Drosophila melanogaster: one gene and its partners. The protein of the gene in region 1 interacts with the protein of each later gene in a pairwise test. Each region holds a gene or a part of one and is shown on either strand. Other genes may lie near its edges.

What was found.
Region 2: the proteins of Jon99Ciii (region 1) and Pez interact in a two-hybrid assay, tested with the Drosophila melanogaster proteins (one large-scale study listed by BioGRID).
Region 3: the proteins of Jon99Ciii (region 1) and elB interact in a two-hybrid assay, tested with the Drosophila melanogaster proteins (one large-scale study listed by BioGRID).

What each region holds. Positions count from the first base shown.
Region 1 is NT_033777.3:29,920,386-29,924,023, forward strand, and holds Jon99Ciii (jonah 99Ciii), read left to right. Parts: upstream 1-1,830; 5' UTR 1,831-1,856; coding exon 1,857-2,654; 3' UTR 2,655-3,070; downstream 3,071-3,638. Other genes in the region: Jon99Cii (jonah 99Cii), read right to left, coding at 3,405-3,638. UniProt on the Drosophila melanogaster protein: Major function may be to aid in digestion.
Region 2 is NT_033779.5:6,336,956-6,340,713, reverse strand, and holds the start of Pez (Pez), read left to right. Parts: upstream 1-2,042; 5' UTR 2,043-2,066; intron 2,067-2,220; 5' UTR 2,221-2,571; coding exon 2,572-2,656; intron 2,657-3,442; coding exon 3,443-3,758.
Region 3 is NT_033779.5:14,407,849-14,411,606, reverse strand, and holds the start of elB (elbow B), read left to right. Parts: upstream 1-2,057; 5' UTR 2,058-3,170; coding exon 3,171-3,239; intron 3,240-3,758. UniProt on the Drosophila melanogaster protein: May negatively regulate Notch-induced cell proliferation in the eye-head primordium. May act in leg and wing primordia to negatively regulate body-wall specifying genes and thereby promote appendage formation. Required for tracheal development.

The DNA of each region.
Region 1 (3,638 bases):
GCTGCATTTGGAGGCAGCAACCGATTTTAGCGATTTCAGTTCAGGAATCTTTCGTCCATTTGTGGTTGCATTGCACGTGATGAGCGACTTTCGATTTTCGAAGCCCCAGCAACGGAATCGCACCACTTTTATGCCTGAAAATCCAAATCAATACTGCCCAGTGGGTTTATATGTAAGTGAAAAACAAAACGTGCTAAATGGAACAATATTATCTGCTTATATTTCGATGAAATGATGCATACAGTTGAGATATGAAATTAAATAGGTGTCTAATATTTTGTACCCAGCAATATAGATCAATGCCCAAAAAAAAAATACGCACTTTGCATACTTTTTGACACCTATTCAAGCCGAAATTCAAAGCTACTTAATATTCAAAAAGTAGCATGAGGGTGTTAATTTGCGAGTAAATAGGGATTCATGGACTTGGGTTCATATCCTAGAACTATTCACCGAGAAAAGCCCTTAAAAATAGGAGAAAATGCAAGCTTTTAAGCTTTTGGCTAACCAACAGAGCCGGAAAACACACCACACCTGCAGTTTACAGTCGAGTATCTACCGAATTGAAATGATTTCGAATGCCTTTTGGGCACTGGGTCAGTGATTCTGACTTTGTGATTGATGAATATTGATTAATCTGCATGGGAAGTGGGAGGGGGAGGTGGGGTGGTGTACATCTAAGACCCAACTCGTCCTTGGCAGCCGAGCGTCTTGAGCCTTGAATGTTGAATGTTGCTTACTTCAGGGCGCTCGCAGGGCTTTTGTGTGTCAATGCACTTGGAACTAAATGCCAGCTCCTGGCTAAAGGCGGAGAAAAGGAAAAGGAACAAGCCCACTTTCACGGAGCAGCCCTTTGAGATGAATGTGTGTGTTCGAAAGGTGGGGTTCAATGGAGCTCCGGGCGGAATGGCATCGTACGTGTTCAAGTCGTACGGGGTTTTTAGCGGGGCCAATGCACTCCACACTCCACTCGCATGGCTTCCAAGAGAAGAGGAAGGAAGTGATGGTGGCCCAAGGAATTTCAAAATTAAAGTCACAGCTGTCGAGGGGAACTCATTAAGTGCGAATTAATTAGAGGCCATAGCTGAAAATACCTGGATGGCATTCTCGTAATTATATAAAGGTACTCCTCATTACACAAATGTGGCTAAATGCACATTCTTCTTATAAGTTCCCATTAACTAAATGCTATGTTGGGTTTATACATGATTTTCTGCAGTGTACAACTGGGTTGCACTCAATGATTCATTGGCCTCCAACAAAACTCCTGCCTTATTTAGCTTTTAAGGACCCTTGTGAGTTATGTGCTCAGTTCTCCACGAGAAAAGCGAAAGAGCTCATTTTCCCTGGGTTTGCGTAGCAGGTTGCACTTTCACTGTCTCCCCACCGGAAACCGTCAAGATTGCGGGATAAAATTCATTTTATGGCCATCTGTATTAAAATTATATCTCTAAGCCCTCAACATGATCGTAAAAATCTATAGTATCAATGCTGATTTGCTTTATGGCACCGATAAGATACTTATGTGTTTAAACAAATTGAATGTACCCACGTAGAAAATGATTTTATGAATTGCATCCGATGAGTAGTATTTAACATTAAATTTATTGTATTTTTAACTGATTCGCAAATCATTGAACACTGATAAGTTTACGTTTTTTATATTGCTGTACAAGCCTCTGCGTTGTTTATTTTTTGTCTTTTTGCTCCTATGTAATCTGGATGACATTAATTTACTGCCCTCCAGCTCAACATATGGGTAGTTTGACACTTGGTCAAGATAAGACAAGGGACTTCTTCTGTATATAAAGGCGCTTCGACATCGGAACACCATTGAGTTGCAAGACTTGACCAAGATGAAACTGTTCGTATTCCTGGCCTTGGCCGTGGCCGCAGCTACTGCTGTGCCCGCTCCCGCCCAGAAGCTGACCCCGACGCCCATCAAGGACATTCAGGGTCGCATCACCAACGGCTACCCAGCCTACGAGGGCAAGGTGCCTTACATCGTGGGTCTGCTCTTCAGCGGCAACGGAAACTGGTGGTGCGGTGGCTCGATCATCGGCAACACCTGGGTCCTGACCGCCGCTCACTGCACCAACGGAGCCAGTGGAGTGACCATCAACTACGGAGCCAGCATCCGCACCCAGCCCCAGTACACCCACTGGGTGGGCAGTGGCGACATCATCCAGCACCACCACTACAACAGCGGCAACCTGCACAACGACATCTCCCTGATCCGTACCCCGCACGTCGACTTCTGGAGCCTGGTCAACAAGGTTGAGCTGCCCAGCTACAACGACCGCTACCAGGACTACGCCGGATGGTGGGCCGTGGCCTCCGGATGGGGCGGCACCTACGATGGCAGCCCACTGCCCGACTGGCTCCAGTCCGTCGATGTCCAGATCATTTCCCAAAGTGATTGCAGCCGCACCTGGTCTCTCCACGACAACATGATCTGCATCAACACTGACGGAGGCAAGTCCACCTGCGGAGGCGACTCTGGTGGCCCCCTGGTTACACACGACGGCAACCGCCTGGTCGGAGTGACTTCCTTCGGATCCGCCGCTGGCTGCCAGTCTGGTGCTCCCGCCGTCTTCAGCCGCGTCACCGGATACCTGGACTGGATCCGCGACAACACCGGCATCTCCTACTAAGCAGTTGATGTTCCTTAATTCTGAGGGGTTTCTTCAATAAACGATTATAGCAAGCAACTCAAGTTCTGTTTTTGGGATGGGATTCAGATGTCTTCTTGCTTAAGTAATGAAATCAATAAAATATTTCCAAGTGAAGGGAAATATATTAAACTGCAAACGGAAATAAACTTATTCCGATTTCCGATTTATGTATCGGAAAAAATCAAGCTTTAGGAACACATAATGACGAACCATCGGACTATATGCAAATATATATATATGGATCATACGTCTTATTATTATGTATTATTATTATGTATTGTTTATAATTATTATGTATATTATGTATATAAAAAGCAAACTGGATTGAAAATGGTGTATGTAGAATATTGGACTTGTTATATTTGCAACATAATTAAAGTGCATAAACATAATATAAATTTATGTTATTATAAATAGCTGCAAGTGGACTTTCCTAGCTTAAACAGTTTTAAATATAGGAATACCCTATAGTCGCTACTAGCGTTCAACAGCTATCATATGGATAGAATATAAAAATAGGATATAAAAATAAGTTAAACAATCTCGTTTTAAAAACATTTAAGGAAAATATGAGATTACTTTTAGTTTTATAATATATGTACATTTAATGTACATAATAGAATATATAAATATTTAGCTCTCAATAATGTGCCCCTCAATCTACAACTGAATAAATAGTTTGGTCGAATTTTTCATTTTTGCTATAATCGTTTATTGAACATCAACTGCTTAGTAGGAGATGCCGGTGTTGTCGCGGATCCAGTCCAGGTATCCGGTGACGCGGCTGAAGACGGCGGGAGCACCAGACTGGCAGCCAGCGGCGGATCCGAAGGAGGTCACTCCGACCAGGCGGTTGCCGTCGTGTGTAACCAGGGGGCCACCAGAGTCGCCTCCGCAGGTGGACTTGCCTCCGTCAGTGTTGATGCAGATCATGTTGTCGTGGAGAGACCAGGTGCGGCTGCA
Region 2 (3,758 bases), on another chromosome or scaffold:
GTTTCCTCCAAAAACACTCTTTATTTGAGTGCTTCTTTTTCTAGTTTACGACTAAGTAGTTAATCTAAATGAATGAGATGAATGATCTTGGTTATTTCTGCTTAGCCATCTATTCAAACAAAGTTTACGATCTAGTCACAACAAACGCCCATCTAGTATCACCCTACACACTTGTAATGTGCGTGATAACGCTTAGAATCTCGCTTGGCATATGTGATTTTAAAATTCCCTAAACACGATGACACTCTCGAATTACTCGTCCGAATCGACGGAGAATTATAAAGTAAGCATGACTATGCATATTTATTTCGCGCCCAAGTGGCTTTCGTTATCATAAACCTAGTTTGGCTGTCTGGAAAGGATGAAATGTAACTCCGCGCTCACTTTAACCGAAGTCCATTAAATGTAATCCCATTACGGAACCTGCCCTTTTAATGGTTCTTTAATTGGAAGAACTAATAGTCTAGCTTTAATAGGTAGGTAACCCTATAATGGGGTGTCATAACATATAATATAATATATTTATTTAGTTTGTCTTTGAACTTGAATTTCAGAGAACTAATTTTTATCCATAAAAGTTCTTAGGAAGTGTACAACAATGTACAATTTTTATATTTTAACTGATTTATATATATGTAAATATGTATGTACGTACATACCTAGACTTGCAGTATCTCCTACTAAGTTCTTAGTTCTTTCAAAATGGAACGATTTTACAGAGTTCAGTTATACAAGGCAGCAAGAGTATACACACTTCGGCTTTTCGAACTAAGCCACTTTCAATTTCGTTGTAGTAAATTTTGATACTAGGATTTTGTTTACATCGTCATTAATGTGTGTGTGTTTAATTAGCATAAAACAATATATCGGTTGGCTTTTTTCACAAATTGTTTTTAATAAATTGGAAACTAAATGCAACGCCAACTCCAATTGGAAAATGTGTAAAGTTGGTGTACTTAGGATTTTCAAATGTTGATTTTTTGAATAAGGAAAGGCAGGTTAACGGAAATTAAGAACATAGCTTCGTCGCTCATATCGAGTGCTTACTGTACGGGAAGCAGACAGTCGACAGCTGTTCTCAGCGGAGAGCCACGAGCAGAAAAGTAACTTGATGGCCGATTGGCGACCCGAGTCGCGTTTTTGGTTATGCAATTCGGCCTACGACTCGGTTTGAGACGTGAAAGGCGGCGATACAGCGTGCAAATAGCGCAAATTAATAACAGAAGTGAATTAAATTAAATTACACGCAGCGCGGACGGAGTGAGCGAGAGCGCACTATCGCACGGGCGGCGGCGAGGCTGTGCGAGAGCGAGAGGGAGAGGGAGACTGGGCGAGCGCAGCAACAGGTACTGAACTTTAAACTCGCTCGCAGGGCTCTTCTGTGTGTGTGTGTGTGTGTGAGCGAGCGAGTGAGCGATACGGTTGCTCCATCATCTGTCCTCGTCGCTGCAACCTTGACCGCCAATGCAGCGCTCGAAATATCTAAGCAGCAAATTAATTATGGACTGGATTTCGATTTTGGTAATCGGGTTTTGCTTTTTGGATTTCGACAGTGCGTGGCCTTGTGATTCGGCTCCTCGAAACTCACCGATCGCGATCTCCGACTGCGCTGCTCCTAATCCTCTGTAGATAGACGACGATCGGTGGATGTGGATGTGGATTTGTGCCCCGTCTCTGGTGCTCTTCCTGTTGCAGCCCCTCTCAGCAGCTTGGCAGACGTCAAAGCCCTTGATTTAAATTCGCTTTATTCAGTTACGCAGCGGGGCGAAGCCACGATCTTAATTTTAATTCGCTTTATTCGATAAAACGTTGACGGAGGGCGGCAAGTGCAAAGGGGAAGTGACGACTACCACGGCAGCAGCAGTACTAAATTACTGAATTCCAGAGGGACCGTCGTCGAATCGCGGTGTGGATTTCTCAGTTGCGCGCACTTTCCAGCACTGGAGTTGGAACGGATAACAGAGCTATGCCAGCACGCCACCTATGTGTCCAGTAGCTCTGTTAAGTTTGATATTTTACTGTTCGCTAGAAACCGTTATTCTCTTGCTGTGTACAACGAAGTATTCGTGTGTATCAGTGGTTTTAATATCTTTAGGAATTTTATTTAATCACTGCTGACTGCATTGTTATATATTTTAAAATATAAACTGTTTTGTTTCAGTTACATATTTCTTGGTTGCACTTGTTTTCTTTAACAGAACTAAACCTATTTTCTTGCAGCCCACTGCGCAAAGACATACCGATAGTCAATGCCGCCTATCGATCCATTCGATGCCAGCCACCGAGATACTCAGTCAGCACCTGCGTATCGATATCAGCACTTCGGTCTCTTCGTTTTATTTCTCGTGAATTCCTTTATTTATTGTCGTTAACTGCCCAATTACTATCTTTAACTTTACTTAACCAATACGCGCAGTGCTCTGGTTTGCGTGTCTAATCAGCTGATTCAAATCGGCTAATTCCAATTGAGCAATTTACTCCCCCAAAAAAAACCTGTGGTGTCGATGGTGCTGCCGTTTTAGCCACTTTTGTGAGCCCAGCGGAGCCCCGGTGGAGCAAAATAGTCGAAAAATGCCATTGAAATTCTTGAAAAAGTGTCGCCAGTACAATGTTACGTCCAAGAGTTTGTTTGTTATATCAGTGCATCACCTGCTGGGTGAGTAAGCCCCACATTCCTAGAGGCGCTACGCCCCCCACAACAACAACAGCGACAGCAACGACAACAACAACAACAGCAATAGCAACAGTGGAGACGAGACAATAGAAACAACAAGAAATCGGTGACAAAGCCACAACTTAACAGCTGCCGTCTGCCATTGCAATTGGGATTATTTAATTGGGAATGTGCACAACGATTGTCATGCGGCGCCCACTTCCAGTTTAGCTGGAATTCGCCTTCCAAGGCACAGACCACAAAAATGCCTTCACTTGTTGCATTCTAGTTAACAGTCGCTGAGTTAACAGAGGCGCACAGGACACATAACAGCGACCGTTAATTCTAAAACTAACAGACTGCCTATGAGAACTTCCTAACTTTGCGTACTTCACATTTTGTATATTATTTACTCTCGATTTTGGGCTAAACAAAAGCATGTTTTGTAGTTCTTATACACTTAACCGAATGTACTTATTTGGCAAGCGAACTGAAGACCTTGACTCAATTAAAACCACCCAAATTTCTCCAACCATCAGAAAGGTTTTAGACATTAGGCCTACGTTTCGTTAGTTAGGAAATACGACAGATGAGAGAAGCCAATTGAGCGGCGCCGCCACAATTTCCGTCCATAAAACGTATAAGGTCTCGAAAGAGATTATAAACTTTATTTGCATATTTGCGCGTGCGACGGGCAGGGCCAAATTGTTGTTGTGCGGCGAATTTAGAGTGCTTGGAGCGACTTAGGCCGATGTTTGAAGCACGTTTTCACTCTTACCTACATTGCAGACACATCCAGCACAGTGGACTGCACGATCAGCTCGGAGAGCAAGGGACAGGAGTGCCTGGACAACGTTTGCCAACGTTTGCTAATCCAGCAGCCGGAGTTCTTTGGACTGCGCTACCTGGTCAAGGGCAAGGACAAGGAGGACGAGTTCAAATGGATCGACCTGGAGCGCTCGCTCAGTCGGCAGCTGGAGAAGTATGCGGCGGGCCCCAAGATCTACTTGCGCGTTCGCCACTACGTGACCACTGGCGTGCGCCACTTGAGCGACGAAGCCACGCGCTTTTACTACTTTCTGCAGCTGAAGAGCGACATCTACGA
Region 3 (3,758 bases), on another chromosome or scaffold:
ACAAAATACTGTTAGCCACTTAATTTTGTGGTTTACCCAGAGAGCGAAAACGACATATACTTTTTGTGTGGTTAATTGAAACTCGATTGTTTTGTGTTAAACCAGAAATGAGTCTATTAAGTCCGAAAACGAAACTAAAACCATATTGTGAAACAAAAGGAAGCTATAAAACGTTTGACTCTGTCCGCCATTAAAGTGGCATCTAAATAAACATTTTATGGTTTTTGAAAGGCGAAACTTTCAAAAGCTTCTTAATGAACACGACAAAAATCCACAATGGACGGGGGCATTTTATGAGAGCATCACCAAAAATGCTCCAAGAAGGCGTGGAGCAGCAGTGGCAGCTGTCAATATATGGCCGAAATATGTAAATTATTGATTGTTAATTCAAAGCGCCACGATTAGTATAATTGTGTATTTCTCTTTCAAATCCTAAACATTTTAATGCCATAAAGTTAGAGCAGCATTTCGCCTTTTGAATATTTAACCAATTGCGTGGTCTTGGTTGTGTTTTTACGACCATTTTTGCTTTTTACGATGATGCGGACCCAATAGAGCAATTTAACCAGAGATTATGACTCCTATATTTGATTTCTTAAATTGCCCTAACGTGGGAGCTATGATTTAGATATTAAACTGCATATGTACATATTAAGCATTAAGAGAAATTTAATCGGCAAACTTGAATTACAAATTTGTTTTTTTTTTATTAACATTTTTTAATGTTAAAGATGTTACGATATTACTTTCGAACATTCCATTCTTATTGCATTTATAGCATCTAAGTGAGAAACTAAAATTGATTTCAGTGTGCAAAATGAGGGATAAGTTCGTCTCAGACATTTCCCGTCATCATGTGCAACCCGAGATTTTCATTTTCGCCAGCTGTTTTCTGTTTACAGTGGGGAAAACTCTCTCTGCGAAGTGAGGGAAATACACCAAATCGTGTTCTCTCCACGGAAATGGTTCTCTCGTTTGGTGCTCTAAATCATATTTCCTCGGCTTGCAGTTTTTAACACATTCCCCAACCCCTCCTCACACACACTCTCACACTGGCACACCAACGAGCGCCACACACACGCCCACCTGCTCGTAAACAATTATGGCCGACGCCGTTCCGCTCTCCACACGCACACAGGCGCCATGGCTGCACACACATGTGTGGAAATAAATTCCCCACAAAACACTGTGAAACAACAACAACAGCAACAAAATTACCCAAAATGGCTACACAGAAGCGGCGATCGTCCAATGAGCGTGTTGGTGTCGGTGTGCCCAGCGTTGTGTGTGTTGTGTTGGCTCTATTTTTAATTTCCAATATTTTATTTACACATTTCTAGAATTTTTTAGCTTTGTACTCAATGATAGCGCGCAAAGAAAAACTTTCCAACTGGGCGTATACGCAATATTTAAAACTTATTGCTTGATCTAAGTGTGAACTTACTTGTGCTCAGAATTACAAATTTCCAAAAATCTTTCCCTACTATGTGTATAATAAATGTTTAAGATTTTATTTAATAATATTAAAAAATCCTTATAATTCTTGGTACATAAGTATAATATAAAAAAATGTTTCTTAAACAACCGGGTACCGTGATTACCCTTCATTTTATTTATCAAATTTAAAGCGGAAATATACATTTTCAAAAATATCCAGAAATTTCCGTTACTTCCCATCGTCAACACTGCTTCTCCGTCACATAGTATCCGTCTACTACTAACCGCCAATTCTACTACGCTTTTTGGCTCTCAGCTCCCACGCGAAATTCGCTGCCTCAGCAAAAAGCATGCGCGCTCAGCAAAGAGCGCAGAACTAAAAACGTTTGCTCTCGTGCCCCAACTACTTCGCTCTTTCGCTCTCGCGCCCTAAGAAAAAGGGGAGCGCATGGCCTCGGACAACAACAAAAGCACACTTGTTGAAAACGAAAACGGCCACAAACAACAAAGAGCGAACTGGTTTTCAAGCGAGCGCGAAACTACTGAGAGAGCCGATTGGAGAGTGGGGGTGATACGAAAAGAGCGAAAAGGAGCGTGCACGTCATGTTGTTTATAGATTTTTAGTCGAATTTCGTTATTTCACGTTTAAAGTTCGTACGTGCGCTGAACGGACGGACTGCTACGACCGGAGTGTTGTGTTGTGAGTGCGAAAGCGTAAAATCGGCCAGGCGGATACATATGCACTTCCCCCAAACGCAAAAAAAAAAAAATTTTCAAAATATATACGAGAAAGTCAACACAATCGCCTATTTTTTAAGTCGTTTTCGAGTGATCCTTGTGCTTTATCAAAATTAGACTGAGTTTAAAACAAAGTATACATGTGAAACAAAATTAGCTCAGTAAATAGCAAACTTTTGGATAACCCCACGTTCCCGGAACCATCTAATAACGTACGTGCCTCATCATAAAACGCGCCCTCAACGAGGCATTCGAGCGAAACCACTAACCAAAAACGGCCAAGCCAAAGAAATAAATAAAGTACATACATACCTATGTATATCTAACAAAAGGAAAACCCATAAATGAATACATTGTAAAAGCCCATGCGTGAATCAAACGTAAATATTGTAGATGCAAGCCAGCAAAGAAAGTAGTGTGTAAATTCTTTTTTACACACATATGTATCGTGTACACATATAAATAATAAATACCGCTGAGGCAATTATAATACTTAATGAATTTATTGCACAATTAAAGCGAAGCCAGCATATCACAACAACAAATTAATATGCCGCTGGCGTGAAAGTCACAACTCGACGCATGAGAAATCCCCCCTGCGCCACAGCACTGAATTATTAATGAAATCGAATTACAAACAAAGCCCAGCAAGCATCAGCAATAACGATTGCGAATCGAAATCGGAATAAATAATAAAAAGAGGAAAAATAAAAAATAAACACAATAATAAATTATCATAAATAAGTACTCACATCAACGAGAACCGCGAAACGTGGACGGCTTAATCAGCGAAAAGTCAGGCAGCTGGAAAATATTTCAAGCAAGGCGCAGGCGCCGCTTTTCACACGAGTTGGCAGCACACGCCACATAAATTGGCACTTACCGTTAAGCGCACTGCCGTACTTTGCGGTCGGGACAAAAGCAACAACCACTCAACACCTCCACCGAACCACCAAAGAAAAGCCGTCAAAGTGGATTTAACAAATTATAATAAAATGCTGCAATCCAGCAATCATCATTATTTAAGACCGGATTATATGACAGCTGCAGCTGCCCCAACAGCGGTAAGCCCATCTCTTTGTCTCATTTTTGGGGTTTTTGGGGATAATTCTCACAAGGTATTTTATTCGGCAATCAGAAATTTATTGCGTTTATATGGACTTAGCGCTTATCGCCTAATACAGCTCAGTGATTATTGCGATTTCTTTTTCAGTGAGTTGGTTTAGCTATCTAATATGGGATAAAATATTAATTGAAAGGGATAGGTATCTGATGAACAGTTTCGGTTAAAAGTCATTAAAACTATTATTTCAAATATTGATTGGTCTTAAAATTTAATAATATTCTTAAATGTTGATAAGAAGACGTAAATTTCGTATTATTTGTTTTCGCATTCTTCACACTCTCTTCAGAGATTATTATTTCACTTTGGTGTTCCGATCGTTAAGTAGAACAAATCTTGTTAAGGGTTAAGTTCTATATATATCAAAATATGAATAAGAAAAATGCCAGAATAGTCATGGTTTAAACAGGATAAGAAGAGTAGTACAAATTCTAGCAATAACACCCAATTCGCTACGTTC